Callithrix jacchus: one gene and its partners. The protein of the gene in region 1 purifies or fractionates together with the protein of each later gene. This does not show direct contact. Links are inferred from orthologs where the notes say so. Each region holds a gene or a part of one and is shown on either strand. Other genes may lie near its edges. The genes, in order: ANAPC16, ANAPC4, ANAPC2 and CDC27.

Region 1 (7,242 bases):
TTGGGAAGCCGAGGAAGGAGGACTGCTTGAGCTCAAGAGTTTGAAACCAGCCTGGGCACATGGCAAAACCCGCTCTCTTTTAAAAAAAAAAAGCGGGGGCCGGGCCTCGTGGGTCACGCCTGTAATCCCAGCACTTTGGGAGGCTGAGGCAAGCGGATCACCTGAGGTCAGCCTGGCCAACATGGAGAAACCCCGTCTCTACTAAAATACAAAAAATTAGCCAGGCGTGGTGGCACATGCCTATAATCCCAGCTACTCAGGAGGCTGAAGCAGGAGAATTGAGGCTACTCAGGAGAACTGCTTGAACCTGGGAGGTGGAGGTTGCAGTGAGCCGAGATCACGCCACCGCACTCCAGCCTGGGCAACAAGAGCAAAACTCCATCTCAAAAAAAAAGAAGGAAAGAAAGAAAAAGAGAGATAAAAGAAAAAGGCATTATAAATGCCTAAACATAAACACAGCCTGTTCATGACTTTGAAAGAGAGAATAAAGGTCTCTTTATTACTTCAGCCTAGTGAGTAAAATGCAAACTTCAGTGATTATGTAACTATGTGCACACTATCTCACTTTTTTTTCCCCCAGGCGGTGTCTCATTCTTGTTGCCCAGGCTGGAGGGCAATGGCATGATCTCTGCTCTCTGCAACCTCTGGCTCCTGGGTTCAAGAGATTCTCCTGCCTCAGCCTTCCCAACTGGAATTACAGGTGCCCACCACCACACCCAGCTAATTTTTTGTATTTTTAGTAGAGACGGGGTTTCGCCATGTTGGCCAGGCTGGTCTTGAACTCCTGACCTCAGATGATCCACCTGCCTTGGCCCCCCCAAGTGCTGGGATTGCCCCCACAAAGTGCTGGGATTACAGGCGTGAGCCACCACATTGGGCACACTCGTATCTATCTAGCAAGACAGTTAAGACAATGAGGGATATTTAATAAATTTAACCACCCAGAAAAAAAAAAATACCCCTAAGTACTTTCAGAGATGCTAGACATTCATACCAATCAGCTGGTTACCTGTCAAAGCACAGTTAAAATAACAACTTAACCAATATGGTTCTCAGACCAACATATTGCTGATGGAAGGAATCCAATTTCTACAGGCCACTGCCCAACAAAATGCACATCACTCACTGAGAAACCAAGCTTCTGGTCACACCACTTAATTAATCAATAATTTAGGAAACAAAGGTTCTCACAGGCTAGCTGAGGTTAACTTGCACCAATATTCCTACCATGTACAGCTTGAAGCCCAAATAGTCTTGAAGCCCAAAATACTGAAGAGTTCCAAAGAAAACAAGTCGATCCTTAATAAAAACACTAATGTTCAGTCCAATCCTCAGCAAATAAGTCACTTTAATGGATGGTTTGGGTTGGGCGCGGTGGCTCACATCTGCAATCCCAGCACTTTGGGAGGCCGAGGAGGGCAGATCACCTGAGGTCAAGAGTTCGAGACCAGTCTTGCCAACATGGTGAAACCCCGTTGCTACTAAAAATACAAAAAGTAGCCGGGCGTGGTGGCGGGCGCCTATAACCCCAACTACTCGGAAGCCTGAGAGGTGGAAGTTGCAGTGAGCTGAGATCGCGCCACTCCACTCCAGCCTAGGCGACAGAGCAAGACTCCCTCTCCAAAAAAATAAAATAAAATGTTTAAAAATAGTAATAATTGATGGTTTGTGTGCTTACAGAACCAAGAAGAGGTTTCGTGAAAAATAACAAAGAAGGTAAACCGACAGGGATGAAGGAAAAGGGCACATAATTAGCAACAGTCGATGACATCATACCCCAATGGCCTATTCCCCGAGGCCTCTAAAATTCTCAACAAAAAAAAAACCTTCAAGGGGAAAGCTGAAAAAAAAAAGTTTCCCACAAAAACAGACTAAGGTGAAGGTCGGGACCTCAGGCCACAAGTTCCCGAAGAACCGGGGTCCGGGAGACAGCAAAAGTAGCATCTACCTGCCCTGCATGGCCCTGCGCTACGAGACTGCTCAGAAGGAAAGAGGGGAATAACCAACTTAACCCTGCTTCGAGGTGGTTTGGAGAAGAAGAGGAAAGCTGTGTCTTTCTGCAATACCGTGAGGGAAGCCGAGGCCCCGAATCATCAAAGAGAAGAAGAGTGCTAGAGGACTGCAGGCAAACCAAGACAGGGCGAGAAGGCGAAGGAGCCGGAAGTCCTCTCCTGGAGCGCGTTCCCTACTCCCCTACTCGCGTCTCAGCCCTGGCCACGCCCACCACGCACGGACGCGCGCACGCCGCCGGCTCCCATTGTGAGGGCGCGAGCACGCCGTCGTCCTGGTCGTGGTATGCGCAGCAGCTCCGGCGGACCCTGGGGGTGGGGCTGTAGGGGAAAGTGCTAAAGCCGCTGAGGTAAGAAGCCGAGGGCTCAAGGGCCCTTGGGAGCTTGGTGAAAAGGGAGTTAACCCCTAGGATCCTACCTGCAGGGACTAGGAAAATGGAGAAGGTAGGTGGAGAAACAGGAGACTGCTGTAGAAGACGTGCGAAAGGAAATTTCCCCAGGCCGGGTTGGACTGACTGCGCATGCGGGCCGAGGGGTGGAGACTGCGCAGTGGGACAGCGCCGATGGCGTCGTTTCCTGGAACCCAGCTGGGTGGGTAGCGTGGCTAGGAGTCTGCTTGGGAGCCGCTAGTGTTCTGACGGCTCCCTCTCCAGCCCCTTTCTCTCCACGTCCCACCCCGCAGTTCCAGCTGCGGCTTCTATTTGGTTTGGGTTGTAATCCAGCTATTCTTAAGTGGAAAAATTTGTTGATGGAATTTAATGATTTCTTGTAATTTGTACTAGGGTAGGAACTTTTAAGGAATTACTTTTTAAGAAAATAGGCATATATCTGTTAGAAAGGAAAGGAATTTATGAATGCGAGTACATGAAGTAAATGTTTAAGCATCTTAGCTCGGACACAGCAATCTGTGTCCAGAAAGCATCATTACTCTCCTGTGAGGATCTCCACTGCCAGCCCCAACCTCCCTGACAGGGCCAAGTCCCAGGATACTTAATCATCAGTATTTACTCAACAAAATTTTACTAAGCACCTCCGGTGAGCCCGGCCAACTAGTCGAAGATAGAGTTGTGCGAATACATCTGCACAATGAGAAAAAAAAACTTAATGGACCAGTACTCATGACACCGCACTTCTCTTACCTCCTGCTTGACCTTTGCTGAGCTGCATGCCCTGCGTTCTGTCATTTGTTCATCATTCATTCATCTGAAATGCCCGGGACTGGAAGCACAGTGGAAACACTGTGACCCAGGTTCTGTGCTCGGCATTGAGGGTAGAAAGACTTTTCGAAGGTAGCAGTATGTTTCTTAAGATCGTGAACCTTAAAATGAAAGTGTAAAGTGCCTAGTAGAGGGCATTGGCCTTCCTCCTGAACAGATTCTTTCCCCTCTGGGAGCTTGCTGACTGTTTTAGATAGAGAGAATTAAAACTTTTTCCATGAAGTTTTTTCATAGTAAGCATGAAAAACTGGGATCTGCATAGGAAAAACTCGGGAGTAACTCTCCGTTAATTATTTTGAATAGCTAAGATTTATGAAGTGTTTAATAAGCCTATAACTGTTCCAAGCGTTTTACATGTATTAACTTATCTTGTCACATCTGTGTGAGGTAGCTGCCGCTATTACAGGTTGAGTATCCCTAATCCAGAAATCCAAAATGCTCCAAAATTTAAAACTTCTTGAGTGAGGGGATGGTCAAAGGAAATGCTAATTGGAGCATTTTGAATTTCAGATTTTCGAATTTGGGAGGCTTAATCATTAAGTATAATGCAAATATCCCAAAACCTGAAAGAAATCCAAAATACTTCCAGTTCCAAGCATTTCAACCTGTTTCCCATTTTGCAGATAAGACAACCAAGGAACAAAAATATTAAATATGCTGGAGGTTGCAGTTTTTTGAATTTCTGCCATCAGACCTTGGCGATGATCTTGAGCAGTCGGATATAAATTACTCCCACATGGTTAGCGTTCCAGTAATGGAACACTAGGCATAAATGGGTTAAATTATTTGTCCACAGTCATGCCGCAAGTAAGTAGTGAAACCAGAACTCAGGCAGAGAGGCTTCATAATCTTACCCGCTATGCTGCTTTACCTTGCACATGACAAATGACATGCCAACAAGCCATTGCTTCAAAATGTCACAGCAGATAAGCTAAAATTGTCTCTATACCTCAGTTTTATTTTTTCATGTATAAAATGAGGAAGTTGGATTAGATGACCTTTAAGGAATCTGTGGTTTCTGTGAAACATTTAATTCATTCAGCAAGCATTTACTGAAATGAACAGCTACTTCCCCACTATAGGCCAGGTGTTATGTTTGGTTCTGGTGATTACTTAGTGCCTGCCTTGAGAGCAGTTACAATCTCTAGGGTGTATTAGTTTTGCTTTACTCTCATTTACCACTCGCTGGTAGCATTCAAAATTTAACCTACATCTTTAGAGCTAGAAAATACTTTGATATATCCTTCCACCTCAGCAGAAAACTACTTACAGTTAGCTTTGTGCTAATTCTGTGCTCCAGTTTTTAATCCTGGCTGTTTTGTGTATGGAATGATAGTAGTTCTGAGAGTTGGAAAGAAAACAAGATGAAAGGGAATTCCTTTGATTATATTCAGCTTAGAAGTCACACTGTGGCTAACTTTTGAAGCTGTCCTCACTCTGGCAGTTGCTTGGGTGCTCTGCTGAGCAACTGACTTCAAAATATAAAGTATAAAGCATTTGCAACTGAATAGAGCATTTATCAGGGTGTAGGAAAAATAGAGTTTTAAATCTTAGGTGAGATATATAAAGAGTTCACAGTGGGTTCCACTCTGAACTGATGAGAAATAAAGACTGAGCTACTCTCCAAAAGGTGGCTAAGTTATCTGTATGCTTTATTTGAATCCCACCAGGAATTCACATGAAGATTTGGACCTGATCCATCACTGCTTAAGTTCAAAAACAGTTGAAAAACTTGTCAGGCTATATTTTGACCCACTGCAGTCCAGAAGATTGGATATGAATCTGACTCCAAAAATTGTTGCCTCTGTGGATATGAATACAATTTGGAAAGTTAGCAGAGCTCAGAGAATAAAGGAAATGTAATCTAATAACAAGATTGAAAATGTCTGCTGAGCAGAGTGGCTCAGGCCTGTAATCCCAGCATTTTAGGGAGGCTGAGGCAGAGGATCTCTTGAGCCCAGGAATTGGAGACCAGCCTGAAGAATGTAGTGAAACTTCATTTCTACAAAAAATAAAATTAATGGGGTGTGATGGCACACACCTGTAGTCCCAGCTATTTGGGAGGCTGAAGAAAGAGGATAATTTGCACTCAGGAGGTCAAGGCTACAGTTAGCCAAGATCATGCCACTGCATTCCAGCCTGGGAAATAGAGCAAGACTCTGTCTTCGAAAAAAGAAAACATCATTAATCAATTTGCTTTTTTTTTTTGAGACACAGAGTCTTGCTCTGTCACCAGGCACTAGGCTGGAGTGCAATGGCACGGTCTCAGCTCACTGCAACCTCCACCTCCCAGGTTCAAGCAATCCTCCTGCCTCAGCCTCCTGAGTAGCTGGGACTACAGGTATGTGCCACCACACCCAGCTAATTTTTGTATTTTTAGTAGAGACAAGGTTTCACCACGTTGGCCAGGATGGTCTCCATCTCTTGACCTCGTGATCCGCCCTCCTCGGCCTCCCAAAGTGCTGGGATTACAGGCGTGAGCCACTGCGCCTGGCTTCAATTTGCATTTTTGCTGACAGTCTAGTTATAGTAGTTGCTTTACTGTTCCCATATCCCACTTCACTATTAATCAGTGTTACTTGTAATGAAATCAGAAACCAAGCTCTGCTTCTCTAACAGCTTTAAATCATCATCACAAAATTAAGCAAACAAAACAGCCAATGTTTCAAGACATACTATATCATTTTCATTACTAGAAAACTGGATTTTATATATATATATATATATATATATATATATATATATATATATTTGTATTTTATTCCCTCACTCTTTTCTGTTATCAAAAAACATGACCAGGTGCAGTGGCTCATGCCTGTAATCCCAGCACTTCGGGAGGCTGAGGTGGACAGATCACCTGAGGTTGGGAGTTCAAGACCAGCCTGGCCAACATGGGGAAACCCCGTCTCTACTAAAAATACAAAATTCGCCAGACATGGTGGCGCATGCCTGTAATCCCAGCTACTCGGGAGACTGAGGCAGGAGAATCACTTGAACCCAGAAGGCAGAAGTTAAATGAGCTAACATGGCACCATTTCGCTCCAGCCTGGGCAACAAAAGTGAAACTCCGTCTCAAAAAAAAAAAAAGAAAAGAAAAGTTTCAGACAGGCATGGTAGCTCACACCTATAATCCCGATACCTTGGGTGGCCAAGATGGGAGGATTGCTTGAGCCCAAGAGTTCCCGACAAGCCTGGGGACAACATGGTAAGAAGTTGTCTCCACCAAAAGTAAAAAAAAAAAAAAAAATAATTAACTGGGCATAGTGGCATGCCCCTGTGGTCCCAGCTACTTGGGAGGTTGAGAGGTTGGAATATTGCTTGAGCCTAGGAGGTTGAGACTGCAATGAGCAATGATCAGGCCACTGGACTTCAGCCTGGGTGAGAGAGTGAGAACCTCCCTAGAAAAAATAAATATATTTCAACTTTTTTTTTTTCTTTGAGATGGAGTTTCACTGTTGTTACCCAGACTGGAGTGCAATGGCACGATCTCGGCTCACCGCAACCTCCGCCTCCTGGGTTCAAGCAGTTCTCCTGCCTCAGCTTCCCAAGTAGCTGGGACTACAGGTGCGCACCACCATGCCCAACTAATGTTTGTATTTTTAGTAGAGACGGGGTTTCACCTTGTTGACCAGGATGGTCTCGATCTCTTGACCTCGTGATCTACCTGCCTCAGCCTCCCAAAGTGCTGGGATTATAGGCATGAGCCACTGTGCCCAGCCTCAACTTTTTATAATAAATATGTTCATGTCCAACTAACAAAAAAAGCGCTAATGAAAAGTATTCAGGCTGGTCTGGGTGCAGTGTTGTTACACTAACTGATCACAACCCGCTACAGATATCTTTGTTCCTTTTTCACTCCCACTGCTTCACTTGACTAGCAAAAAAAAAAAAAAACTCAGCTAAAATTCTCTCTGACCATTTCAGAGGGATATTCATTTTACAGTCCCCGTTTTTGGCACAATCTCAGCTCACTGCAACCTCCACCTCCCAGGTTCAAGTGATTCTTCTGCCTTAGC
Region 2 (7,348 bases), on another chromosome or scaffold:
GTCTAACCCGTAGCCTGCAGCCCAGAACGGCTTTGAATGCAGCTCATCACAAATTAGTAAACTTTCTTAAAACATTTTGAAATTTTTGTGTGTGTGTGTGTTTTTTTTTTTTTTAGCTCATCAGCTGTCATTAATGTTAGGGTATTTTATGTGTGGCCCAAGACAGTTCTTCTAATGTGGGAAGCCAAAAGATTGGACACCCCTGGTCTATAGCAGCATATAACTCTGCTGTTTCCTGCCCACACCTGGAACTCCACACCTGCGCTGTTTCCTTTGCTGTAAGGCTTAGGAAATTCATATTCTGTGAAGACTTCATGTGCAGGTGGTTATACTCTGTCCTTTGTAGTACAGTGTTTATGCCTCTGGGAACAGCCATTTTCACAAGTTGTGTGGGCATTTGTATTCAGGTAAGTTCCAGGAAAATGGACATTCAATTTCCATAAGAATGTAAAGTGCATAGATACTGGACACCCACCAGCTGATCCGTTATAACTGCCCCAAAACAACACCTGAAAATGCATTTTGAAAAACAAAGGCAAGTGCGTTTTCACCTTAGAAATGTTGATTCTGGAAGAGTTGGGGGGACATGCTAAGTTGTTTGTGGCAAAGGCAAGGGTTGCAAAGCCCCTGAGAGGAAGTCAAGGATTAAGAACAGTGCCTGGCACAAATTAGTTACTTGACACTGAATGAATTAATCTCCCTCCATCATCTACTTCCCAGGGGCTAGATCCAGTCAGAGGTCAAGAAGAGGGGGCTTGTTAGAAGTTAAAGGTCCTGCAGTGTAGGGCTGAGGGCCCCACAGGGTCGTGGTGTGTCCCTTATGCTGTGCTGAGGTGCAGGATCCAACAAACAAAGAGACAGGACACAGAAGTACAAGGAAAATGGAGCTGGGCTCAGGGGGGCCCTAATGTCCAGAAGTGTCAGTATTTATTGTGTATAGGTTAGGAGGCAGGGCAGTGAGTGAAGTCATCTTCAAAGATAGTGATAGGATTGTGAGCAATAAAACAAGGGGTCCATCCTCATTAGGTCACCTAGGCTATGAGGTGGACAGTGTGCAGCAAGATGTCCACCCCCATTAGATCACTGAGGCATGGAGGTGGGCTGTGCGCAGTGAAGAGGGTGCAGTGTGCACTACCTCTACCTACGGGCAAGCTACTTCTAAGATTTGTGGGAGGATGCTTTAAGTCACACAGCAGTGACAGAGCTGTCAGGGTTACCGCCACCTGTTGGCAGCTTCCAATGAGTTCTATAGGAAGACGCTTTTTGGGCAGCACAGTAACAAGAGCTAATAAAGTTCACAGTCACCAAGGTACAATTATCCGTAGGGGTTTTGAGCCCTTGAATGGATGCTAGAGGGATTGCCGGTCTGAGGGCAGCCTTCCACAAGAAGACGCGAGGTCCTACAACTCCTTTATCAGGAGGAGTGGCTCTTGCCCCAAGCCTGCCATACAGTGGGTATCTTAATGATACTGAACACTGCCCCCTGGGCCATGGATTCTTGTCCTGGTATAACTGTTTTTCCCTTAAATCATGCTCGGCACTGTCTGCTCCAGACATTCCTCTGACTATAAGCTGCTTATTCCTTAATTCATGCTCTGTACCGTGTCTACTCCAGGCATTCCTCCAATTATGAACTAAGATATAGTTATATATATATATATAAATGAGTGGTGAGATATTCTTTAGGCACTCATTCTATGAACAAATATATGATTATATAGAGAGAATTATATAAAGAAATAACTGAGTAGTAACACTATAAACTGAGATATTCTTCAGATCTTAATTGTGCCAGGATTTTGCTTAGTTCTCCTTCCTTGGTGCCTATGTGGGGGGTTATCCACACTGAGGCCTCTTTCTCCATTGAACAAGTGAAAGGTAGTGAAAAGTAGATGGCTTTCTACCATAGGTCTGTGGGAAGTAGAAAAGTTCCCTTTTAAAGTTTCCTTGCTTATTAAAGAGTAAGTGTGCTAATAACTCTTTGTTAAGCCCTATCCTATGTAGTTGTTAGACATGCCATGCTTATAGGCAGGTAGTATATTCTATGTTCTTGTATTTCAACCAAGATATCTGTGCTGAACCAGGCATATCCCAGCTCTCCATTGCTTTTACCTATTTAGAAAAGTTTTAAGTTGTTACCCAATCGGGTTTTAATTTAGATTGTGAGGTCTGGCTCCAGCTAATGAAGATCAGACACAGCAGTAAGGATGACCCCAAATGCATAAGGGATAAATTTGTGTGTTTTCCTTTGTTCATTGTATTCTTGTGGCATGAGCTTCCTGCAGACCAGGAAGTAAAAATTGCATTGCTGAAAAATCCTTTGTCTCAGTGCTAAGTTTTCTTTGCAGCACCGAACATCTATTTCCAACAGATTTTAAGAACCCTAGAATGACACTGTCACATTCTCTCAGGGAGGTCATAGCTGTGGGAACTGTGAACATGCTGACTCATTTAAATGTGTCCTACATAAATCAACATCAGATGAGTTCTGATTTACAAGACTGCCAGGCAGGCCTGTGAGCCTTCTGGCAAAACCCGTCCCATGCATTTGTGTAGCCCCAGTTCTTCCACATAGTAAATGCCCAAGAAGCTACAGAAGAAATCGTGTGTGAGCCCACAGTCCTCATTCCTTATGATGGGGCTGCAATTACCAATAAGTTGTGAGCGTTAAATGGGATGAGGAGTCACAGTATTATTTGCTTGTTAGGGAGGTTTGAGGGCAGGCCCCTCTTCCCTCTTCAAATTGGAATCACCCAAAGAGTTTTAGTAAATACTGGGCCCATCCAGAGTTAATTCTCTTTTAATTGGTTTGGGGTGCTGCTTGGACAGGTGAACTTTTAAAATTCTATACTGAGCCACCAGGACTGACATGAGAACTATTTGTTTGGAGTCTGTCAGAGGAGGCTCCAGCTGATCAGAACCTTAAAGTTCATATTCTTTTTCATTTCCCCATTGTCGCTGAAGCCTTCCCCCTACACCCCTACCGTCCCTTCGAACACAGCAGCGAATTTTTGGTAAAACTGGAAAGTTATGCAAGCGTGCCTACACGCGTGCACACATGCGTTACCAAAAAATCCGCGTGCAGCTTTCCACGTCCCAGCGCCCAGCGCTCCCACCTGCAGCTGGGTCCACTGCTCTGCTTCTCCCTCTCTGCTCCACTCGGGGCGCCGTGCCCCACCCACGTGCCCCACCCTCCCTCACGTCCCGCCCCTCGCCATTCCCTTCCCCGCCCACGTGCCCCACCCTCCCCCTCGCTCCGCCCCTCGCTGCTCCGTGTCCCTCCCAGGGGCACCATTCTACCCCCACCTCGCTCCTCCCCTCGCTGCTCCCTTGCCCCGCCCACGCGCCTTGTCTCGGTCCGCCCGGTCTGGATCTCAGCCTCGCCAGGCCCTTTGCCCGGCCCGCCCCGCCTTCTCCTCTCGCGAGGCACTCCCGGGGCCGGAAGTGCTTGGAGCGCGCGACAGCGGCAGGGCGGGGCGGTCTGGAGGCTGCGGCGCGCCGCCGGCAGAGGGAGGCGAGAGGCCGCTGGGGCCGTGTTGGTCGCCGGTGGGGACTCTTGCAGGTACCGCCCTGGTCGGGGCTTCTCGCGGAGGGCCAGGAGCTCCTGCCGGCCTCTGACTGGGGTGTCGTTGCAGGGCCGTCCCCATGTTGCGTTTTCCGACCTGTTTCCCGTCCTTCCGGGTGGTGGGAGAGAAGCAGCTCCCGCAGGAGATTATTTTCCTGGTCTGGTCTCCCAAGCGGGATCTCATTGCTTTGGCCAACACAGCGGGCGAGGTAAGTGAGCCGGTGGAACCCGCCTGGGCTGGGTCTGCCCGCTGGGGGCCCAAAAACACCGAGCCTGTTCATTCGGGCCACAGGCGGCCGGAGCCTCAGTTTCCCCTTCTGCAGACGCGGCGGGCCACCTGCTACCCCTTCCCTGCCTCCCAGGACGGCAGTAAACTTTAAGTAATATATGCGAAAGGTGGTGTCTTTGCCATTTTCAGTACTTTTATGGCTAACGTAACAGTTTTCACACAGCTTAACACCGTCAGGCAATTCTGCATCCCCAAGTCTTCTTCACTCATCGCTTTATTAGTTAAATGAACTTTTTAAAAAGCCCACGATGTGCCACCCATTAGCTAGACATAGTGGTAAATTCAGGGCCTGCCCTAAGTTTACTTACAGTTTTAATAGCAGAAGGAAGTAATTCTCGAACTTTAGCTGCAAGACTGTATGCATGTAGCTGACCCAGAATATATATTTAAGAATCTGTAGTCTCTTGTCCACGTTTTATACTACGGGTTGGATGCTAACTTCCACTAAAAACCTTTAAATTGGACAAGGAAGAGATGCATCATTGGATTCCAGACAGAACGTGCATGGGTTTTGTCAGCATTTCTAGTTCACATTAAACTTCATCGAGTTTGTTGTACCAACACCTGTTGTACCCAACTTTCTGCTGAGAATTATTACTTGCCAGCCATTTTGTAAGGAAACCTTCACCTGTGCATCTTTCGGCCTCTGGCTTGAGCATTATCTGGCCAGGTGAGAGTTGTGTAGAGTTAAGTTTGGAAACTAAGTGGTAAGGAAATCTTAGCACCCTGTGGACTACAGCATCATGTTATCTACCATGACCCAGTAGCCAGGGTATTGATGTCTAATTTTTCAGGGCCCTCCATGAAATCTAGTCTCCCTCCTCTGCCGGGATGCTTTGAAACTCTGTCGTGGCTCTAGAGAACAACAGGTGGTACAGCCACAGGAGCAGGAGGAAAGGTAGAAAGGAGGTACATCTGTGCGATCAGAAGGGTAGGCATGATAGTGGGCACTGTTACATCCATTTCTCAGTGAAGGAAGAGGCAAGGGAATTTTCTGTGGGTGAAGATGGAGAAGAAAATATTGCAAGCTTGAGGAGAAAGAAGAGGTCTGAAAAAGCTAACAAGGCAGGTGGACTTGGGAAACCTAAATAGGATTCAGTCAGTGTTAAGAGCACCACAAGATCAGTGTTCTTATTTGAGAGACACTGGTTGAATGAGGTTGTGTCTCCGTTCTGTTTGGCTGTGTGGGTGCAGGTACAGTTGGGTTTAACCAGGATTGTTGTTTAGCAAGAGAAAGATGAAAGAGTTGAAGTTATGTGCAAGGGTAGTGATTTTGTTGATGAACTTTGGGTTCTAACGTGGTTAAGGAGGTAAGTGAGGGCAGGTGTAGGGAGAGGAACAGTGACTAGGGGGTAGAATCAATAGACTGTATATTCTGGTGAGGTCAAAGAATTGGAGTTGAGTGTTGCAGAGATGAGCTGAAAGAGGGGTGGTGGATGGAAGGTGGGAAGGAAATTTGAAATGGAGATTTTGGTGGCCCTGCAGTTGTTGGTAATGACCAGGCTAGGGGTGTGACCCTGGGAGTGGCTAAGTGCAGTAGAAGATGTGATCACTGGAGGTGAGGTAGTTGACAGCTGAAAAGCCAGGACATATAGCTCTTGAAATCACCAAAAATGAGGATGAGTGTGCTGTTAGAAAGCATGAGCGAGCCAGGTGTGCAAATCTTCAAGGAATGAGGGGAATGGCCTAGGGGTCTGTAGAGGACTGCAATCAAGGGGAGAGTGGGTGGTATGGTCTGACTGCATGTGATTCAAAGTTAGGAGGTTTTCAAGAAGAGAAGAAATGGCATTGAGCATCAAGGAAGACACCTGCTTCATCTCCTAGCCCAAGAGGAGCAGTACAGGGTCCGTGGGATACAAAATGGTCACCACCTAGGAAGGCTGCAGGGAAGCCATGTCCTCTGGTGAGAGGCACATTTCCGATAAAAGTATGAAGATTTTAATTTCATGATGCCATCTGACCATGAGCTGCAGAAAGCACAGAGGAAGGGTTTCAGAAGTAAGGAATGGCAGGAATGGTTTCAGAAAAGAGAGGGTCAAGTTGGAGAGATGATGTTACCATGAGTGAAGGGTGCTGTGAGGTAAGGCAGGGCATGGTGGTAAAGCTGAGTGTGGAGTCGATGGAGATCGAGAGGGGTCTTCTAGGAGCACGTGCAGTTGTGAGGCCTTTTCTTCCTTACTGTCAATGGTTGTATAGAAGCTGCAACAGGATCAGTCTTAGAGCTCTTGGGCAACATTTTGACCTTCCAAGGTGGGAATTTACTGTTGTGGAAATGGAGATTTAGAATGGTTAAGTGATTTGTCTAAGATCCATGGCTAGTGTGTGACACAACTGAAATCAGATGCCACGTGGTCTAATTCCAAGCTTAGTATTATTTGAGTATATTACAGCTAGTTACCTTTTTAGTGATGTTTGTGTTCTTTTATTTCTTTTTTGGTTGTCATCTTGGACAGCCTTCCTTCTAAAAGGTAAGTCTCCCGTTGACATAAAAGATGGGAAGATGTATTAGGTACTGGGTGAAATTAGACCTTGTTTCACCCATTTATTTTAAAATACCTTGTGTTCTTGCAGACACTGTTGTCTTTTTCTGTTTTTCTGATAGCTAACTATACTTGAGAGATAGTAATTTTAAAAAAGGTTTTAGTAGGGATCGAGGTGTATTTTATTTTTGGAAATTGATTTTTTTTTTTATTTCCTGCCGTTATATCTGCTTTGTCTTAGGTGTTACTTCATCGACTTGCAAGTTTTCATCGAGTTTGGAGTTTTCCACCAAATGAAAATACAGGAAAGGAAGTGACCTGTCTGGCATGGAGACCAGATGGCAAACGTAATGATAATATTACAAAAATATGTTTTTATTTTCACAAAAAGTATTCTGTAAAGAAAGTCCATTTTCAGGAAGAATTTATTGTTCTTAGTATACATTTTAATTATAAATACCAGTTAGGGGCCTTTTTTTTTTAAAAACATGCCTTAAAATATTTTTATAGAACTCAGATTAATTCTGCTATCTTGTTTCTTGGCAAAGATAACTCTGAGGTGAAATCTGATGGAATGTACAAAATATTTTGGTTTTGTTCTTTCCGCTGTCATCTTGGCCTGTGTTTGGCCCAGGCAGCACCTGCCACTCTCCAGTCAGGCAGTTCAAGGCCATCATGGCCTTTCTCTTTCACAATGGATTTTAGCACGAAATGTGTGGCTCATATTCCCTTGGTGCATATATGTTTGCCTCCCCAGGGGGACTATGAGCTTTGACTCCATACCTTCCATTTCTATGTGATCTTTCTTCTGGTCCCATCCTATGTTATAGGCTTTTATGGCTCTGGTGACAGAATCGTCCTCTTCCATGTGATATTTTTACAATGACCATCCTTATTGGAACTGTTGGACACATATAATCAAAGTGAAGAAAAATGCTGTAAATCCTACAGCTTAAAGTTCATCTGTGTCGTGGGTATTTTAAGAAAAAAGTGACTTGTTTTTGTAAAATATGT
Region 3 (6,589 bases), on another chromosome or scaffold:
AGAAGGGGGCACAGACCCGGAACTTGAGGGGGAGCTGGACAGCCGGTATGCCCGCCGCCGCTACTACCGACTCCTGCAGAGCCCGCTGTGTGCAGGGTGCGGCAGTGACAAGCAGCAGTGTTGGTGTCGCCAAGCTCTGGAGCAGTTCCACCAGCTCAGCCAGGTCTTGTGAGTACTCTATCCCGATGGCCATGCTCCTGCTCCTTCCGGTTCCCTGCTGCTACCCTGGGTCCAGCGGGCCTCTGCAGAAAGCTGGTGAGCTGTTCTGATAGCCAGGAACATGACACAGAGAGAGTCCCAGGGATTCCTGTGCAGTGTGTCCTGGACGCAGGCGTCTCTCTTCTGTCACTCACATCCAGTTCCATGGGGTCATGCTAAGGCTAAGGGCCCACGTGGCTTGTCTGCAGCAGCAAATTTCTTAGCAATTCCAAACTTCCTGGACTCTGCAGAATTCCACTGTGCTTTTGTCGACCCTGAGGAGGAATGATTCTCACCCTGTGGACATACCTTGCCCTGTCGTTGTGAACAGAAGCTTCCTGCTGCTTCTCTCCAGGGAGATCAGGTCACTGTCAGGACAAGCAGTCCCCTTTCTGGTTCTCTGGAGAGGGTTTTGTTGTTAGAGACAAGTCCTGTTGTAGCCCTGTAGCAATCGTCACACCCTCGGTGGCCATTTGGGGTGACTTTGTCACATTGAACAGAGGCGTAGCAGTGCAGCTCAGTGAGATTCCTCAGTGGACTAAGGAGTGTTCTGTTGCTGACAGGCATCAGGAAGAGTGTGAAGAGCTTCTCTTGGGCTCATCCCAGCAAACCTTTCTCATCCTCGTCTTGAGTCCTTTTGCTTCTTTAGACAAGAGGCCGCACTGAAAGGCACTAATTTGCTCAGATCTGTGTGCCGTGGCATCCATACTTCTGTGGCCAGGGTAGCATTGTAATTGGTGGTTGATCCTAAGAGATAAGGCTTGGGCCCCCAACAGCCACACCTGCTGCCACTTATCACATGGGGAAGGCCAGCTGGGCAGGGACAGCAGAGCCTGGGAGTGCTCCCAAGCTTCTTGAAGCCTTTGGCACAACCACCACCCCCAGCTGAGGACTGTGAGAGTGTATGTGTGCTACATGCATGCTATAGGCAGGGCTGTCCTGGCATGAGGCTGTTCTGGGCTAGAAGGGCCGGTGTGTGCCGTGGGTGCCCATGCCGGGGCTAGAGGGGCCGGTGTGTGCCGTGGGTGCCCATGGCCAGGGCTCTTCTCTAGACACAGGCTCAGTCTGCTGGAGCGGGTCAGTGCCGAGGCTGTGACCGCCACCCTGCACCAGGTGACCCGGGAGAGGATGGAGGACCGATGCCGAGGCGAGTACGAGCGCTCCTTCCTGCGAGAGTTCCACAAGGTGAGGACCCCTCCCTTGAGCTGGGCCCCTCTGGGGGTGCCAGACCTGACACCTGGCTTCAGAAACAGCCAGAGCATGGTGGGCCCAGCCCCAGGCAGTGCCTGGAGCTGCCTTGATGTGGGGTAGAGGCTGGTACTTCTGGTCCCTGGTGACAGTGAAGACACATCTGGGATGTGCTCATCAGGTCTGCACAGAATCCCACAGCCACAAGCAGTACCGGGCCAGGATCCCAAGGGGCTGCTCCAGGCAGGTGTGGCGAGGCCAGGCCTACCAGAGGGGCCAGTGAGTGACCCCTTCTCCTCGCTGCCCTTCTTGAGTGTGGACTTGCATGGCTGGTCCTTCATGGACTGGCCTACAGCCAGCCCGCACCACAGAGGGGAGCCAAACACCCTTGCACGGGGCCTCCAGGTACCTGTGCTGTTGGGGTGTGGTCCGGGGCTCTGCTCTGCACTTCCAGAGCCATGGGGGAGCTGGGCCCAGTCACGTGGGTACTCCCACCCTGGCCCCACTTGACACCTCTCCTCTCCCCAGTGCTGCGGGGTCCACCTACTGAGGTGCAGATTGGCCGAGATGTGGGGCTTTCAAAGAGGGCGGGTGGGCATCTCCACGGTGGTGGGGTAGAGTGGGCAGTACGGTGAAGAGGGTGAACCGTCTGTGTGTCTTGCCACTGGGTAGCCGCCTGTCGGCATGTGCACGCCTGGGCCCCTGTGGCGGAATTGCCGCTCGGGGTTTGTGTTCACTCAGATGCCCTTGTGATGTGCAGTGTCATCTGCATGGGGGTGGCCAGTCACCCGTCCAGTCCCAAGGGCGGGTTTATCTGTTTAAGTGGGGGCAAGTGTGCCTCCCAGGCCCAGCGCACGGGTCATGCATGTCCGTCACATCTCGCGCTAGGGCTGCTGTTGCCACTGATAAGTGTGGGCACTGGTGCGCGTGTGGGCACTGGGCTCTGGCTTCGCAGGAGGACCAAGACGGCCCCTTTGGGCTCCTCCCAGCCTCCGAGTCAGTGTGGGCTCACCACGCCTCCCTGCAGCTCACACTCGTGTTCTCCCGACAGTGGATCGAGCGGGTGGTTGGCTGGCTCGGCAAGGTGTTCCTGCAGGACAGCCCCTCCAGGCCCGCATCTCCCGAGGCGGGCAACACCCTGCGCCGCTGGCGCTGCCATGTGCAGAGGTTCTTCTACCGCATCTATGCCAGCCTGCGCATCGAGGAGCTCTTCAGCATCATCCGAGGTCCACCCACTCTCCCGTCTGGGGTACCCTCCCAGGGCCTTCGCTGTGTCCCTTCTCCTGTCCACGTCTGGGTTCCCTGCACCTTTGCCTGTCGCGCTTGCAGGGCTGGTACCCTTCCCTCTGCAGGCATCCCCGTGTCTGGATCCGGGCAGGTGCGGCAAACACTGGGTGGTGCTCCTAAGTGTCTACTCCTGTGGTCCCTCAGCCTTGGCTCCTGCTGGGGACTGGCCCCTGGCTGTCACTGTGTCCACCCTGTGGCATTCTGGTCAAATGCATCAGCACGCCAAAATGTTGGGGGGACGTCTGGGTCTAGTGGGTAGTCTCCTCGTCCCAGGGCTGGCGAGCCCCCCACATGTGCACGTGTCCGTGTCTGTCCCTGAGGCATGTCCCTCTACTTGTAGACTTCCCAGACTCCCGACCAGCCATCGAGGACCTCAAGTACTGCCTGGAGAGGACAGACCAGAGGCAGCAGCTGCTCGTGTCCCTCAAGGCCGCCCTGGAGACGCGGCTGCTGCATCCAGGTGCTGTGTGCTGGCTGCTGCTGCCCCACTGCTTGGCCCTCAGGGCTCAGACACTACCAGGGGGCTCCTGTCCAGGGAGCTGGGGACCCAGTCTCTAGCCCTGGACTTACAGGTCTAAGGAAGAAATGGGTTGAGAAGCTATTGGTGGGGTGCTTAGGGGATCTGGGGTACCCGTCAGCTTGCTTGTTTCTTTGAAGGGAGTTGGGACTGGCCAGGTGGTCTGGGGTGTTGAGACCTGGTTCTCTCAGAACACACTACCCAGCAGGGAGGGCCTGTGAGCAGGGAGAGGCTGGGACGGGGGTATGGGGGAATGGGGGGATGGGCAGACGAGGGGAGCAGCTTCTGCGGTCATATTGGTCTCCTGGGAAAGGAGGCTGCAGCAGGGATCTGTAGACAACCTGACCGGTGTGGCCAGCAGCCCACTCAGGCGTTGGCCCCTGGGAGGCACTGCATGACCACCGGCATCTCCCCGGCTGTAGGCGTCAACACGTGTGACATCATCACCCTCTACATCTCTGCCATCAAGGCGCTGCGCGTGCTGGATCCCTCCATGGTCATCCTGGAGGTGGCCTGTGAGCCCATCCGCCGCTACCTGAGGTGAGGGCTGCAGCTGGCCCAGGAGCCACGGGGACCCCAGGTGTCCTGCTGAGCTCCCGGTGGTCCTGGGGGCAGCGGAGGGTGTGCTTGGCCCTCAGGATACAAGGTCTCCCCCAGCTGGGCTGAGTGTACGGGCTCAGGCCCAGGGCTCCTTCCTTTACTCTTGCCTGTGCTGGGCACCTGTCCTTGTCACATGGTGTCACCGTCCCCTCTGTGTGCAGCTACCAGAGGCCCCCCTGCAGCCCTTCCGTGGCCTCCCCTTCTTCAGCACAGAGAGAAGCTCATCTGCTCAGCCTTGCCTTGGCGCTGACCAGGCCCCCACGCGCCAACCAGGCAAGGAGAATGGGCTCTCCTTGCCCATTCTCCTTGTCCGTCCCAGCCTTTTCCACGGCAAGGAGCAGGCACTCCCCGGGCTGTTCGGTGGAGAATGTGTTGGAATGAGGGCCTTGCCACAGCTGCCTGGAAATTCCTCGGGAGTCGAAGAGGCCCCGCGGCCCCAGGCCTGAGCAGCAGGAGCCACTGGGACTCCGGCGCCTGTCTGGACTTGTTCGCTGCTTTGTGGCTGTAATGGGCCTGGCTTCTGGGCTGGTTCTTTTTCTAAAGTTTTTCCTATTTTTGAGACAGGCTCTCACTGTGTCGGAGTGCAGTGGCAGAATCAACTCTGCAGCCTTGGGCACCTGCCTGGGCTCAAGCCGTCCTGCCTCAGTGTGCCACAGAGCTGGGCCTGTGGGCACACAGGCTAGCCTTGCCCTCACAGCTCCTGCTTCCCAGGACCTGTAGCGCCGAACCCGAACCTGTAGCGCCGGGTTCGTTCTTCAGGGAGTCTGACAGGCCTGTCTTTAGTGCACAGCTCGTCATCGGTGGCTGTAGAGGCAGGGGTGGTGGTGCTGGCCTAGACGGGGCGGGGCTGGCGTGGGCAGTGGGAGGGGCATGTGGGGTATCCATACCATGGGCCACAGCAGTGCTCATGCCGGCAGGACGCGGGAGGACACGGTGCGGCAGATCGTGGCCGGGCTGACGGGGGACTCGGACGGGACGGGGGACTTGGCCATTGAGCTGTCCAAGACTGACCCAGCAAGCCTGGAGACGGGCCAGGACAGTGAGGATGACTCGGGCGAGCCTGAGGACTGGGTCCCAGACCCCGTGGACGCTGATCCAGGTTAGCTTGCCCCACAGCATCCATTTCGCCAATGGATGGAGGCTTCGGCTAGGCCAGCCACTCTGGGCTCCTCTCTGGCCGCATAGCTTGGTTGTGTCACGTGTGGCCAGTGCCCCAGAGGCTTGAAGGGGTCCAAGGTCAGGGCAGTGCTCCACCCCCGCCGGCCTGGGCAGGCCCAGGGTGGGCTATGTCCCTCTGTGGCTGGTCACTCTAGCCATGGGAGGTGCCCTTCCTTCCGCCCCTTGTGAGCTGTGGGGTGTCCCCTGCCCCGCCATGACATCTGGCAGAGGAGTGAAGGAAAACGTGCATGGCCCCTGCACCCGCTGCTGGTGTGGGCCTCAGAGTCCCGTTAGGTGACAGCTACTGCTCAGGGCCCATCTGTCCCTGGCCGCAGTGTGCGGAGCTCTGAGAGTTGTGGGACCCCTGCCTGGCCCCAGCCCTGGCCCAGATGGTAAGTCTTCACTGTCTTTAGTCTTCCTCAGAGGAAAACCCCAGAACCTGTGGCTTGTACCCTAAGCCTACTTGAGGGTCCGGGGAGGTCCCTGTGAGACGGGAGGGGCTGGGGATCGAAGCTGCTGCCCTAGGATGCGACTCCTGGTCTCCTGGGAGGTGCCGGGCTGCTCCCAGCCTCGAGGGCCTTCAGGAAAAGCCATGCTGGGCTATGCCTCGGGCATGGTGGGATGGGAGGGGGGTGCCCTATCCTTGCCAAGGTGCCTATCAGGTGACACCCCTGCCCCCGCTGTGCCAGGGAAGTCCAGCTCCAAGCGGCGCTCCTCAGACATTATCAGCCTGCTGGTCAGCATCTACGGCAGCAAGGACCTGTTCATCAATGAGTACCGCTCGCTGCTGGCCGACCGCCTACTGCACCAGCTCAGCTTCAGCCCGGAGCGGTGAGGCCAGGGAGGCGCCAGCCGTCTCCAGGGGTGCTGGGGCCCTTGCTGAGCCTGTCAGGACAGGGCCTGGGCCTGGTTGGACTGTGTGCCACCCCCACTCCTGGCTGGGGCTGAGCTGGCCGCCGGGGTGCCACGCAGGCCCCCTGCTCTGCCCGGGAGGTGCACCCATGACTGCTACAGGTGCTGCTTGGGACTGCAGCCCCTGCGACCCCCGCCCAGACACTGGTTCGTCTCTCCAGGGAGATCCGCAACGTAGAACTGCTGAAGCTGCGCTTTGGCGAGGCCCCGATGCACTTCTGCGAGGTCATGCTGAAGGTGGGTCCCGCCTCGCCCACCGCCCGCCACCCCCAGGCCCCCGTGACACCAGCTCCTCCCTCAGGATATGGCGGACTCCCGCCGCATCAATGCCAACATCCGGGAGGAGGACGAGAAGCGGCCGGTGGAGGAGCAGCCGCCATTCGGGGTCTATGCTGTCATCCTGTCCAGTGAGTTCTGGCCGCCCTTCAAGGATGAGAAGCTGGAGGTCCCTGAGGACATCAGGGCAGCCCTGGAGGCTTACTGCAAGAAGTACGAGCAGCTCAAGGTACCTCCAAGCCAGCCACCCCACAGGGCTCTCTGCACCTCACCCTGTGCTGCGGGCTCAGCAGCCTGGTGCCTATGGCCACCCCATTGTCTCCCGAGTGTCTAGGGTTGGTTATGTCTCACAGCCATCCCTGCAGGAGATGGAGTGGGCCCAGTCCACACTCCCTCTGCCTTCCTCACAGTGAGCCTGTGCCCCCTGTGAGCCAGCGTCCCTCGGCCCCACAG
Region 4 (7,362 bases), on another chromosome or scaffold:
AAAAAGAAAGAAAGAAAGGAAAGAAAGAAAAGAAAGAAAAGGAAAGAAAAAAAGGAAAGACAAAAAGAGCCTAGCACCCTGGAGTTCCTGTGTCTTTCCACCCCTGGTCACCCTGTTGGGACAGTATCAGGACACAGACCCTAAGAGGCTCAGCCTGCTCCTTAAAAAAAAAAAAAAGAAAGAAAAAAAGCTTTAGGCAAATTCTAAACCTATGAGCCAGAATGCCACGCATCAGAGACTCTTTAAATGCTGACTCTAGATCCATATTTTCACATACAAAGTATCATCTTTATGTATCTTCTGTGGTAAGTTCCTACATTTAGGTTTACAAAACTCAGCAGCACACATACAAGAATTGGGTTGGCAGCATGTTGTGTAAAAAACAGCTGAGTTTGTAAAATTATCACACAAGTTTAGCATGAGCAAATAGTGTCATGTGACTGCTAAAAATGTAAATACAACTGTACCACTTTAATAGACGTGTCCAGATAATAAAAACAATAGTCCAACTGCATTCTGAATTGATCAGAATAAATCTGGAGTACTGTGTTCAGTTAAAAGGGTCACATTTTTGGCCGGGCATGGTGGCTCACAGCCTGTAATCCCAGCATTTTGGGAGGCTGAGGTGGGCAGATCACAAGGTCAGCAGTTTGAGACCAGCCTGGCCAACATGGTGAAACCCCTACTTAAAAAAATACAAAAATTAGCTGGGCATGGAACCTGTAATCCCAGCTACTCAGGAGGCTGAGGCAGAATTGCTTGAACCCATGAGGTGGAGGTTGCAGTGAGCCTATATCAAACCATTGCACTACACCCTGGGCGACAGAGCAAGACTGTCTCAAGAAAAAAAAAAGAGGGAGGGTCACATTTTAAGAGTGATAGCTCTTACTCTTCCTTTCCATTCCCAATGTTAGATGCTCTCGTCTCACAGCTAGCATGGTACATTGTTTCCAAAGATGACCCAACAACCCCTCCCATGGCACATGCCTTGTGTGGTGTTACTTTGCCACTCTTCTTATTAAGAGGTGGACTCTCTTTCTCTTCCTGGTAAATTCAGGGTGACTCTGAGTCTTACTTTGACCAACAAGAAATAATGGTCACAGGTCTAGGCCTAAGGGGCCTCACAGCTTCTATTTTTGCCCACTTTGTTGTCAGCCACCAAGTGAAGAAGCTGGAGCTAGACTACTGGCTGATAAGAGGCCAATGTGAAGAGAAAGGTCATGTGGAGGAGAAATGAAGCACTCAGCCAGCAGCTAGCACTGACACCCTAGACATGTGAGTGAAGCCATCTTGGCTCTTCCAGCCCTAGCCAAGCCAATGCTGGTGATGTCCTGTATCTGTGTGATTGTCCAGTGTGGCAGTCACTAGCCACATACAGGGCTACTGAGTCCCTGGAATGTGGCTAGGGCATCTGAAGATTTCATTTTTAATTTCATTTTCTTTTAACTTAAATTTTAAATAGCTAGTGGCTACTATATAGGCCAGTATAAAAGTCTGTTACCACCCTAAGTCATCCAGCATGATCCTGCTAAAGCAACTGGGCACAGGGCAGTCAAAAATCACCTTAGCACCTGCCCTTTGAGGGACTATAAGTACATACACAGTGACAAGAGAAGGCGGTGGAGAAGGATGCAGTGTAGCTCTGTCAGCCCTGTTTTAACAACGTCATCTGCATAAAACGTGGGAACCATAAAGGGAAATTTCCAAGCAACAGAATGTATCATGAGTCCACTTCTAGCTTAGAGAACTCCTGACTAGTAAACTTTTAAACCTGTTTTCCTTATCTGCTGAAAAACAAAATTTCAACAGTTCCCTGGTTCACTTTTTTGGGGGGAGAGGAGGGACAGAAAGGTATGAGAGTCTACAGTGCGTGCTAGACAGAGCCACATTGGTGATACATCGAAGTCTCTTAATCCTTTTTTTTTTTTTTTCAAACTAAGCGAACAGAAGAATTTCAGAGAGGTTATAATTTGCCTAAGGACCTATGACTTGTCAGTGCTAAAACTAAAATTCAAAACCAGGCCTCTGAATTTCAGATCCCCTACTGTTTCTACCACAGCGGAATGCCTCTCCTATCAAAAACAAAAATTTCTGGCCGGGCGCGGTGGCTCACGCCTGTAATCCCAGCACTTTGGGAGGCCGAGGCAGGTGGATCACGAGGTCAAGAAATCGAGACCATCCTGGTCAACATGGTGAAACCCCGTCTACACTAAAAATACAAAAAATTAGCTGGGCATGGTGGCGCGTGCCTGTAATCCCAGCTACTCAGGAGGCTGAGGCAGGAGAATTGCGTGAACCCAGGAGGTGGAGGTTGCGGTGAGCCGAGATCGCGCCATTGCACTCCAGCCTGGGTAGCAAGAGCGAAACTCCATCTCAAAAAAAAAAAATTTTTTTTCTAACGGCTTATTGAGCGTTTCCATGATCTCTCCACCTAAGTACTTCCAATTAATGCCTTCTTAGCAGACTGATCTCATTTTTCTTCCCTCCACTTAATCCTATAGTTCCTTTTCCTCTAATTCTATCCATCCTTCAAACTCCAATTTAAACTTTTTTTCCCTTCCATAAAACTTTCCTCAGTTTAACACAATTTCCCTCTCTGAATTTGTGTATTACTTATAATAGGCACCACGTAACATAGCGTTCTCTGTTCCACTGCTTTTCCCTTAAATAGGCCTTACTCTCCTTGAAGACAAGCTATCCTTTATCTTTGGGGAGTGGCAATCTTTCCAAATTTCTTTAGATTTCCCCGAGCCGTGAGTAGATACTTTTGGAATGGACGAATAATCTAAACTCAATAGACAAATACTTGTTGATTTATTATAGTCAGCCCCAAACTCTGCTGTTTTACCCTTTACTATATTATAATCTACTGCACACCAATAAATCCAGGAGGGCCGAGTGGCGACTCCACACTGCAGCCCCGCCACGTAACGCTCCTCGCCAGTTCCGTCACGCCACGCCCAGCCTGCTGGTTGCTGCTTGGGCGTGGCCCAGCCCTAGGACGGCCGATTGGGCGTGGTATGCGTGGCTGAAGGCGTGGCCGAGAAGAGGAACTTACGCTCAGGGTCAGACTCGGTAGTTTCCGGTAATCCTCGACAATTTCCGGCAACGGTTTTTCCTCGTCGACCCACCTCGGGTATTTCCGACATACTTCGGGCCTTTCCGTCTCGTTTCCGCTCGGCTTTCTCCACTTCGGGTATTTCCGTGTCCCGCTCGGAGGCGCTCGGCAACGCTCGGCCTCCCCAATCCCCCGGTAACGGTCGCTGGTGAGTTTAAATGAGCCGGGGCTGGCCGGGCCGGAGCCGCTACCGGGGGGGCTTGAGGCACTGCAGAAAGTGATCCTCGAGGATGACGGTGCTGCAGGAACCCGTCCAGGTAATGATAACTCTCTTCTCTGAGGCCTGGCTCACAGCCTTGGTCGGGGAAGCAGCGTAGGGCCACTCCGCGGCCTGGTGCGGCCTAGGCCGGGCTGCTTCTCCCGCCTCTACTGCCTCCGAGTCCTGCCTATCTTTAGTTCGGAGGCCTTGCCCGCAACCTAAGCCATGTTACCTCGGGCCCTTCGTTACTTTCACCCTTAGTGTGAGCGGTTTCGTTGAGCATAACCGCCATTCCGGTCCAAGCCAACGTCCGGCCAGCCCTTCCTGTCAGTCCAGGGGCCTGGCTTGACCTGGGGTGGGAGATGAGGGTCCGAAAACGCACCGCGGACGCTCTCTTGCCTCAAAGATGATCGAGAAGCACATTTGATCAGAGCTTGTATGATGTTAGCGATGGTAGGGCAAGTTTGCGGGGGTTTTATTTTTGTTTTTGTCTTATGTGAGAGGGTGGAGGGGAGAGTAGGATCGGTCTTTTTAATACTAATTTCTATTTTGGTAACAGACTTCCTAGCCCACGTTGCCTTTCTCGGGGAATTTCCCACCGGACAATGATGATTTGAGAAGACAACTCCAAGCCTCAGTGCTGAGGTGCAAGCACCTATACCAGGGGAGCGGGTGGAAAGGGCACATCTGGGTTGTTTTCATCCTCGGTGAAGGGGATCAGGAGCATTTTGTTGTGCATGTTTATAAGGCATTCAGGAAATGAAAGACAAATAATGTTTTTTCTGTCCATTTCACCGCCCTTACACCAAGATATGCTTTGACGCACAGTGCCGTGTTACATTAACGAAACCCTATTGGATTTTAAGTATGTGATGCGGTGCCAAGTCATTCCCCCTCCCCGGGCCCCCCCACAGCTGGAGAAACTGAATCTTTTGTGCCTTGGGGATGGACCAGGTCTGGGAGACTTCATCCTACCATATGATGTTTGACTCGATCAGAATTGACCTATATCAACTGCTGTCATTGAGTCATGGACTTAATTTTGAAGTTACAAAGCAAACCAATTTTTATAAATTCCTTCATATTGCCCTTAAAAGGCTTGAGATATCAAATAGTAAATATTTTAACATACCACTACTTTCCTGTTTGTTTAATTTTTCTTCACAGCATGAAATACTCATTTCTTCTAGTTTGGCTTCTTCTCCAGCTGTTTACAGATAGCAGCTATTAGTGTTTGAATTCATAAAACCTAAGATTATACCTTATGAAATTTACCTGTCTGTAAGTTGTATCAGTTCTTCTAGAGCTATTTTCATCCAAATTCTTCTTAACAGTATAGCGTTTCTTTAAAAAATTTTTTTATTCTATGGCTATAGATAAGATAATTATATATACACAGTTTTTTTAGGCCTAGCATGAGCTTAAATAGATAAGCAGATTACTCAAGTTGTTTAATTTCTGTTGCATATCCTTGTAATTTTGTTTTAATAATTTTTTTTTTTTTGCTTTCTCTGGCTCCAGAAGTCTTCTGAAGTGATAAACTAGTTGCAGTGACAGTCTATAACCACCATTTAATAATAATTTCAGACGTTATAAAAGCATGGAAAAGAAAAGAAATATGTAGCCTATTTCTAGATAGTACCCATCAGGTTTCTTGTTTGTACTTAAAGTACTTTTGTTAGTAATTACACACTTGGGTATTTTTAAGGCTTAAAGGTCAGATTTGCCTGTTTTTCACAGTAGCATTGTTCACTAGATTTTTGAGATAGCGGTAGAAAGTTATAGGATATGACTAGGTGAGATTTTTGGTTGTATAGTATAAGAAGAAGCCATTCAAGAAGGGATGATTTGGAGCAGTGAGAAGAACTGGCAACTTTGACTACAATGATAAAGATCAATGATCAAGGATAGTGTTGCAGATGGGAAAGAATTAGTAAAGAAGAGAATAAAAATAGGACAGATATAAACATACTGTCTTAAAAAAAACTGTAACGACAGATTACATGCATTTGGAAAGCAATGAGAATGAGTTGGAAAATTGTTTTCTTTCTTGGAATGTCTCAGAGTTGATGGTATTACTAGGCATAGGAAAAAGTTGACAGAAAAGATGAACAACTATTTTTTGCATTTTTTTCTTTAAAGTTTTAACATAGAATGGCCAGCCTGATATACCATATATGCCTAAATTAAAATTCTGTCTCAAGTTACTACCTCTCAGAAGAGTATTACTTATATTTGAGTCCTTACAAAAATCTCACATATGAGGCAGAAGTTCTGTCAGATCTTTTATTTTTAATGGTAACTATTTGGAAAGACACACTAGCCTAAGTGACTTCAGTGAGAGCTTTTTGGGTATTTATAAAAGTCACCTGATGAAATTGGTATTTAAAAAAGAAGCAAAGAGATTTTATATAGATTTAGCAATTATTCCTAGGGGTAAGACTTCACAGAGATGTTGGATGAAGTTGTAAATAAGCTTTTTGAAAATTGGTTTCATAAGCAATATAGCAATTGGTACTACATACTTGATACTGCTTTAGAGATCATTAGATGGTGAAGGAGTACTTTTGGCTGGGGGTAAAATGTTGAGGGACAACATCTAACATGGATTCAAAGGGTATGGATCTTTGAATGAAAAATTTAGATTTAATGTACATTGGTAATGAATAACTATTAAATGAGCAGAAGAGTTTTTGAGCAGAGGAATTATGTAATAAAAGCACCACCCTGGGAATATTAATCTGGTGCTGTTGGAAAGGGAAGAAGAGACAAGAGTTAGACATACAGACAAGTAGAATAATCCAACTGCTTGATAATGTAGACCAGGGCTTCTTAATCTGGACACTGTTGACATTTGGCACAAGCTATTACTTTGTTGGAAGCTGAGCATCATAGACTGTTTTGTAGCATCCCTGGCTTCTGCCCACCAGATGACCCCAGCATTCGTCACAACCAAAAATACCCTCTAGACATTGCTAAATGTTGGGGACATTAGTTGGGATCAAGAAGGCAAAATTGCCTACAGTAAGAACCACTGATGTGCACTTAAACTAAATCAGTGTCCTAGAAGTTAGATTATAATGTATAATAAGAAATTTCAACTGTGATTTTTTTTTTCTTCATGTCTTTGTACATTGTGTGAAGCCTTTATTATCTATTTCTTTTCAAGTCTTTAAAAAAAGGCAGCCGACTGGGTACAGTGGCTCACACTTGCGATCCCAGCACTTTCAGAGGCTGAAGCAAGCAGATTGCTTGAGCCAAGGAATTCAAGACTAACATCAGCAAAACAGGGAGAACCTGTCTCTTTAAAAAAATAAAATTTAAAAAGGCAGCTTTTTTGACAAAAACAAGAACACAAAATGTATTAAAAATTTTAACAAAAACAAGTGCAAAATTTTTTATAATAAACTTTCTATAACAAAAAATGTATAGTGATTTTATGTAAGTCTGAGTATAACTTATAGAGGCTTGTTTATATTTAAAATAATATATTTAAGAATAGCTAGCTGGTAAGGAATTTTGCAACTTTAAGCTGTTGGTTTGTTTATCTTTTAAATTAGTGCAACTGGGGACTAACCCATTAATCAGTCGGATTTCTCTTAAACATTTTTTGACAGAGAGGGAGAAGGAGTGTTGTTCTTTTGGCTTCATAACTTTCTTTTAGCAGCACTTCATCCATCTGGCTTTAATTTGTAGAACTCTAGCGGTAATGTACTGGGTGTTGTTCTTTAGGGGAAGTCCTACGCCATCAGTTGGGCAGAGAAGCTGATTTTAGCTGTGTTGGTCATCAGCTACTACTTATCTGTAGTGCCTTAGATAATAATCTGTTCTCCCCCCAAACACCCCACAAGAGACACCATCAGTCAGGAACTTAGAGTGAGCAAAGTGGGATGGAAGCTGTATGTGGGATTCTCTACATGGCAGGTTTTTTCTGATGTTTTTAAGAATTGGTGATAAAGGAATGATGTTCTGAGCAAAGCTTGATTTTAAATCAGAAATGGATGGAACTCTTGAATATGATACCTTTTTTCCTTCTTTTTTTTCC

What was found.
Region 2: the proteins of ANAPC16 (region 1) and ANAPC4 purify together in Homo sapiens (co-immunoprecipitation; 10 studies listed by BioGRID and IntAct, with this or other methods). This does not show direct contact. The link is inferred for Callithrix jacchus from reciprocal best matches to the Homo sapiens genes ANAPC16 and ANAPC4.
Region 3: the proteins of ANAPC16 (region 1) and ANAPC2 purify together in Homo sapiens (co-immunoprecipitation; 5 studies listed by BioGRID and IntAct, with this or other methods). This does not show direct contact. The link is inferred for Callithrix jacchus from reciprocal best matches to the Homo sapiens genes ANAPC16 and ANAPC2.
Region 4: the proteins of ANAPC16 (region 1) and CDC27 purify together in Homo sapiens (affinity purification with mass spectrometry; 10 studies listed by BioGRID and IntAct, with this or other methods). This does not show direct contact. The link is inferred for Callithrix jacchus from reciprocal best matches to the Homo sapiens genes ANAPC16 and CDC27.

Annotation. Positions count from the first base shown.
Region 1 is NC_133513.1:57,947,724-57,954,965, reverse strand, and holds the start of ANAPC16 (anaphase-promoting complex subunit 16), read left to right. Parts: upstream 1-2,259; 5' UTR 2,260-2,359; exon of another isoform or gene 2,360-2,522; intron 2,523-2,546; exon of another isoform or gene 2,547-2,600; intron 2,601-5,437; exon of another isoform or gene 5,438-5,443; 5' UTR 5,444-5,567; intron 5,568-6,667; exon of another isoform or gene 6,668-6,790; intron 6,791-7,242. UniProt on the Homo sapiens protein: Component of the anaphase promoting complex/cyclosome (APC/C), a cell cycle-regulated E3 ubiquitin ligase that controls progression through mitosis and the G1 phase of the cell cycle.
Region 2 is NC_133504.1:168,461,840-168,469,187, reverse strand, and holds the start of ANAPC4 (anaphase-promoting complex subunit 4), read left to right. Parts: upstream 1-3,450; 5' UTR 3,451-3,562; intron 3,563-3,635; 5' UTR 3,636-3,645; coding exon 3,646-3,774; intron 3,775-6,575; coding exon 6,576-6,681; intron 6,682-7,348. UniProt on the Homo sapiens protein: Component of the anaphase promoting complex/cyclosome (APC/C), a cell cycle-regulated E3 ubiquitin ligase that controls progression through mitosis and the G1 phase of the cell cycle.
Region 3 is NC_133502.1:185,592,575-185,599,163, reverse strand, and holds part of ANAPC2 (anaphase-promoting complex subunit 2), read left to right. Parts: coding exon 1-168; intron 169-1,250; coding exon 1,251-1,383; intron 1,384-2,437; coding exon 2,438-2,612; intron 2,613-3,013; coding exon 3,014-3,133; intron 3,134-3,612; coding exon 3,613-3,730; intron 3,731-4,707; coding exon 4,708-4,889; intron 4,890-5,637; coding exon 5,638-5,779; intron 5,780-6,021; coding exon 6,022-6,097; intron 6,098-6,161; coding exon 6,162-6,365; intron 6,366-6,589. UniProt on the Homo sapiens protein: Together with the RING-H2 protein ANAPC11, constitutes the catalytic component of the anaphase promoting complex/cyclosome (APC/C), a cell cycle-regulated E3 ubiquitin ligase that controls progression through mitosis and the G1 phase of the cell cycle.
Region 4 is NC_133506.1:87,064,989-87,072,350, reverse strand, and holds the start of CDC27 (cell division cycle protein 27 homolog), read left to right. Parts: upstream 1-3,225; 5' UTR 3,226-3,348; coding exon 3,349-3,375; intron 3,376-3,876; exon of another isoform or gene 3,877-3,964; intron 3,965-7,362. UniProt on the Homo sapiens protein: Component of the anaphase promoting complex/cyclosome (APC/C), a cell cycle-regulated E3 ubiquitin ligase that controls progression through mitosis and the G1 phase of the cell cycle.